2 linked regions of the Ovis aries genome follow. The protein of the gene in region 2 purifies or fractionates together with the protein of the main gene of each other region. This does not show direct contact. Links are inferred from orthologs where the notes say so. Each region holds a gene or a part of one and is shown on either strand. Other genes may lie near its edges.

Evidence for each region.
Region 1: the proteins of NLRP3 (region 2) and TRIM31 purify together in Homo sapiens (affinity purification with western blotting; 3 studies listed by BioGRID). This does not show direct contact. The link is inferred for Ovis aries from reciprocal best matches to the Homo sapiens genes NLRP3 and TRIM31.

What each region holds. Positions count from the first base shown.
Region 1 is NC_056073.1:27,906,270-27,909,297, reverse strand, and holds the end of TRIM31 (E3 ubiquitin-protein ligase TRIM31), read right to left. Parts: intron 1,979-3,028; coding exon 1,452-1,978; 3' UTR 501-1,451; downstream 1-500.
Region 2 is NC_056058.1:38,456,985-38,459,982, reverse strand, and holds the end of NLRP3 (NACHT, LRR and PYD domains-containing protein 3), read right to left. Parts: intron 1,253-2,998; coding exon 1,153-1,252; 3' UTR 501-1,152; downstream 1-500. UniProt on the Homo sapiens protein: Sensor component of the NLRP3 inflammasome, which mediates inflammasome activation in response to defects in membrane integrity, leading to secretion of inflammatory cytokines IL1B and IL18 and pyroptosis.

The sequences.
Region 1 (3,028 bases), on a different chromosome or scaffold from region 2:
AGTGTTTCTTTGTGAAGGAAGCTAAGGAATGCATTTTATTATTTTTTTAAGGAAAACACATCGTGAGTTTATCACATTTTGATTTTCCAATTCAAATTTGGGATCACTATGTTTTTATTTCTCTTCTTTTACGTCATAATCATAAGAGAAAACTAATCTTTCAGGTGGAAAATCTTGGTTCCTGGTAATGTTAACATAATTGCTTATTTTCTTTATCTTATTATATTTGGGTATATATGTACACATACATAATACATGGGCTACCCAGGTGGCTCAGCAGTAAAGAATCTGCCTGCTAATGCAGGAGACACAGGTTGGATCCCTGGATCAGGAATATCTCCTGGAGAAGGAAATGGCAACCCACTCCAGTATTCTTGCCTGGAAAATCCCATGGACAGAGAAGCCATAGAGTCACAAAAGAGTCAGATATGACTTAGGGACTAAACAACATAATACATAATAAATTCAGAATAACAACAAAAATATTATTACCAAGATGATAACTGAAGATTTTAAGTTTTATTTTCAATTCTTTTTGTCATTAGACTATATTCCACAAAGGAGATACAGCTAAATTACTGTGTTTTAAAGTCACCTAAACTAACTCCTAAGAACGGAGAATTTAAGCTACCAACTACTTACACAGTTAGGTTTCTCTTGTTTTAATTTAATTTTGTTTTATAATGATGTAAAACATTTATATAATTCCAAAGCCTAATTTCCATGTCTTCCACTTGGTTTCCCCTCCTCCCAAAGGTGAGTGTTTTTGTTAGGTTTTGGCTTATCCTTCCACTTTAAAAATAAATATAAGCAAAAATAAAAAGGTATATTTACATTTCCCCTTTTCTTAGGTAAAGTGTAGCATGCTGTGTGCACTATTCTCCATCTTGGTTTTTTTTCACTTAATATATCCTGGAGGTCGTCCTAAAATAATAGACAGACAGTCCTCACTTGCAAAAGGTCTAGACCTGACTGAGTCGTCTGGGGAGACAACAATCAGCGATCCGGCGTCATGTTTTCCAGGTCCCTCGAAAGGATGAGGTCCAGACGGGCCAAGCCTGCACACACTCTCAAGGACATCGAGGAGAAAAGCCACAGCCTCAAATCAGTGTGTGGTCTCCTGGAATCTGTGTCTCAACCAACATTCTCATTGCAGAATCACCTATTGATTCATAATGCGACAGTAAATAGTCTTGTCTATTTGAAGCTTCCTTTTCAACCTAGGTATACTGGGGAGAAAAGGGGACTGAAAGTAACAAGGTAAATGTAAAGGGCGGGGTGGGGGCCGTGGGGGGAATGTCAGAGATATCAGGCCTCGATCAAGAAGCCAAAGAGTGTAACTTTCCTAAAGGGTTCCTGGAAGTCTGGCTTCAACCCTACTGCACACATCCCACACATCCCAAAGCGAGGGGGTACCGGGGAGGAGACGCAGAGGAAAGCAAAGAACAACTCTAGGGACTCAGGGTGATCTGGGTCCCGGGAAACAGGAGCCGGAAAAAGGGGAAGATCTGCCCTGGAAACGAGGCGTGGAAGGTGTAGAGGTGCTTGCTCGTGGTGGCGTCGTAGAACACGACCTTGCCGCACTCGTGATTCACGCAGACGCCCACTTTCCTGGGACAGACCGAGAGATCCTCGCGGGTGCCCGCCTCCGTAAGCGCCTGGCACTGGGAGCCCGCCATGCGCAGCGCCCAAAAGCCGCTCAAGGGCTCTATCTGCAGCATGCCCTTCCTGGGTACTAGCTCCGAGGCCACGCCCACCACGCAGCCCCCGCCCCCGGGCCCTTGGAGCTCTGCCTCCCAGGTCTGGCAGCCGGAGCTGAGGCCTGGCAAGCCCAGAACACAGCGGAACGGATAGAAGCGCTCGGGGTCGGTGTGCTCAGCGCAGACTCTCTGAAGATCCGGGTTCAGCGTCACTGTCTTCAGATCCTGGGAAATGATGAGATCTGGGTGAGCCGAAGCCGCATCCAGGGTCAGTGGGTCTGCGGGAAGATGAGGAGAAAGAAGGGCAACCCCAGGTCAAGCCATCCGGGCCCCCTTTAGGATGGCCTTCTCTAGAAGTCAAGGTCACTTTTGCCCCCAGAGAAGTCCTAGCCCCCCGCCCCCTCCTTGACGTTAATCCCTAAATTTCACCATATACAGCTCTGAGGGTGGTCTCCCTCAGAGAGAGTGGTGGGGAGGTGTCATCTCAACACTCAGAACTGAGACTGTCTCCTCTTCCTTCCCCGTTTCCTGTGTTCCTCATATCTAGAACAAGATTTGAGGCTTGTATAAGAGATGTCGAGGTTCAGATTGTCTGAGCTTGAGTAGTTTTTTGAAGTACAACCCCTCAAAAACGGTTCAGTGGAGGGGTGGAGTGCAGAAGGAGGAACTGTCAGCCCCCTTCTCACCCCCTTCTCACACTTTGAGGCGGGGCGGGGCGGTGGGCGCTCAGCATGCAATATCTTAGTTCCCCCACCAGGGTTGGAACCCACCACCTCTGAAGTGGAAGCATGGAGTCTTAACCACTGGGGAAGTCTGCCCCGCACATGCTTTTAATTAGATTTGGGTATTAAGTTATAGTTTGTCAAAGGTAGAAGGCCCCATCCTCCCTCTACAATGGCTTAAGAAGCTGTGGTTCCAGTCCTTGCCAAAGACTTAGGAATCTTCCTTTTACTTGTGTGTGTGTGTGTGTGTGTGTGTGTGTGTGTGTGAGTGTGAGTCACTCAGTCGTGTCCGACTCTTTGCAGCCCTACACACTGTAGCCCGACAGGCTCCTCTGTCCATGGGGTTCTTCAGGCAAGAATACTGGAGTAGCTTGCCGGTCCTTTCTCCAGGGGATCTTCCCGACCCAGGGATCGAACCCTGGTCTCCTGCGTTGCAGGCAGATTCTTTACCATTTGAGCTACAGGGAAGTCCTCCTCTTACTCTAATATGACTTAATGTTTCCTTACTGGATGGGGTGTTTAGGAGAGATGGAGGATGTGGGAATGTGGGGAAGAGGAAAAAGAGTGGTCAGAATCATGAGGATGAGTTAGGTGGATTGGGGCCCA
Region 2 (2,998 bases):
AGTATTGTTGCCTGGAGAATTCCATGGACAAAGGAGCCTGGAGGTCTATACTCCACGGGGTTGCAGAGTTGGACATGATTGACTGACTAAATTTCACTGTTTTCGGAAATCCATAGGCTACACTTTGACAAGCAAGGTCTAGATGACTCACTTGAAAAAAGGAAGTAGTATTCCTATCTTGAACAATTCCATGTGGTTTGAGAGTTTCTCCATGTGTGGAAAAGTAATTAATCAATACATATTAATGAGTTAATGCTATGTGAAGTGTGATAGATGAAATGCTCTTGTGATGAGATAAATCCAAGACAAATTCTTAAAACTGAAGGCAAAATGCATTTTCTACGTAATACTTCTATTTATGAATATAGGCTCCATCTACCCTAAAATTTTCCTTTGCATGATTTTCAACCTCCTGTCTTACCAGAACTGAAATTTCAACCATCAGAGTTAGAGGGATTGTTTTTCCTCATTCATTACAATTGAATCATTTGGCAAAGAGATTTTTTAAATACATGAAGCAATTTAATTTATCTTTAGTGGTTTAGATAAATAAGTAAAAGGCTTTCTAGGCACCCTCTCTTAAAACCAAGGAAAGGAAACAATTTAACTCAATAAATAAAGTTTTTTCTATTTTCAAAATTTCCAACCAGCTACAATATAATAAACATCAATTATTTTATTAGAATATATAACAGTTCAAAAAATAAAAATAAATAAGTTGCTGCCACAAAATTGCAGCATAATATATAGTTAACTCATTCTGTTATGGTCAGTTAAGAGAAAGATGGCAGGAAAGATGATATAGTCAAAGAAAAAAAGTGGGGAGAGGTACAAAAGAAAGGAGAGTTAGAGTAAAAAGAGAAAAAGAAAGAAAAAGTGTTTTCCTGAATGAGTTAGATACATGAGGTCACCAAGAGGAGCACATCCTCTGACTGAGCCACTGCGATCAGAACTGTATCATTTGATGATTTTACTGCACTGTGTCTTCAACCTAGGGGTAAAGGAGAGTCTCCCATTCACCAGGCAGAAGGACCATCAGCAAGTTTTCACTCTTCCTCACTGGACCAGAAGAATTGCAGGGATGATCTTAATGCTGAAGGAGGAATGCTCACTACCACTTGTCTACACCCGAATGACAGAGTGTTTCCGCCACTACCGAGAAGGTTCAAAGACAATGGTTAATTCAGGCTTTTCTTCTTGAAGTGTTTCTAGGGCACGTTTTGTATCATAGTTGAAATACATTTCACACAGCCTATAAAACCAAAAAGAGAGCCTTGGATTACACTCTTCAAATGAACACTTTCAGAGTTCATTTTTCCTTTAAAAATCTCGTCTCCTCTCTTAACCTCACACTTCTAAGCTTTCCAGTGCTGCACATCGTGCCTAATGTGGTTTCTGTTACATTTTTAACCTTCAAGTTTGGAAATGTTTAAACATGCAAATATAAAGAGAATAGTATAATTAATCCTGCCATCTAACTTTGACAGTTAACAACTCATAGCCAGTCTTGTTTCATCTATTACCCACCCGACTCCTCACATCAGTGGATTATTGTAAGCACAGCAGTTCAAGCGTCTATAAATATATCAATGTGTGAAATTAAACAACTTTTAAGAGAGAATTACAATGCAATTATCACACCCAAAATGGTTAAAAATAACTTTCACATATCAATATATGTGAAATCAGTGTTTCAATTTCCTCAATGGTCTGATAAAAATTTTATATTATATTAATTTAATCAGGAGCCATATAAAGCCCACACATTGAGAATTCCCTGATGGTCCAGTGGTTAAGATTTAGTGCATTCACTCCTGTGGTCTAGGTTCAATTCCTTGTCAGAGAAACAAGTTCCCACAAGCCACAGCCCACCCCTCCACTCTGCCAAAAAAAATCTACATATTATAATTGCTTGGTACACCTATCAATGATATGAGTTCTTCTTCCATCTCTCTTTGTTTTTTTTAATCTCCCTTACAACTTAAATTGTATTATGCTATTTGTCTTGTATCATTTCAAGCAATCTTGATTTGGGTGTGTTATGGATAGTTTATGTTCCTTCAAAATTCATGCGTTAAAGCCTTAACCCTCAATGTGATGGTATTTGGAAATGGAGCCTTCAGGATGTAATGAGGGTTACATGAGTTCATGGGGATGAGTCCTCACGATGGGATTAGTGCCCTTATAAGAAAAGACACCATAACACGTACTCTCTCTCTCTGTGTCTCTGTCTCGGTCTGTCTTTCTCTCTGTGTACCGCATGAGAATACAACAAGCCCAGAAGAAAGCTCTCACCAGAAACCAAATCAGCCAGCACCATGATCTTGGATGTTCCACCCTCCAGAACTATGAGAAATGAATGACTATGATTTGTTTAAGGCATATAGACTATTCTATTCTGTTATGGCAGCCTGAGTTCACAAGGCAGTTTGACTACATCCATGGATTCCCCAGTCTGTGTTGAGCTTGTCCCTCATCTCCAGAGTGTCCTAAAGATATAGATAATAAGTAAACAAGAAAATGATATATGATGTTGCTCAACACAGTGGAGGGAAATAAGCAGAGAAGAGGAAAGGCATTGCTGGGTTGCTATTTTCAGTAGGATGGTTATAGTCAGACTCACAGAAAAGACCTTTGAGCAAATAATTTAAGGATTCACAGGAATAAGACATGTGGACATCAAAGTGTAAGAAGTCCCAGGCAGAGGGAACAGCAAGAGTATAGTGTCAGAGGTGACAGAGATTTTTGAAACAGCAAAGAGAACAGTGTGAATGGAGAAGGAACTAGGGTTAGAAGATGACTACAGAAATAGCAGGATTATGCAGGGCCTTAGACACTGCCATGAGTTTGTGGCTTTTGCTTTGTGAAACAAGCATGTTAGTAGGAGTGATATGCTCTGACTCACGTTTTAGCTATACCCTCCATCTGCAGTGGTAGATACAGAATAGCCTAGTAGAATGCCACCAGGACAGTCCAGACAAGAGGTGACAATGGCTTG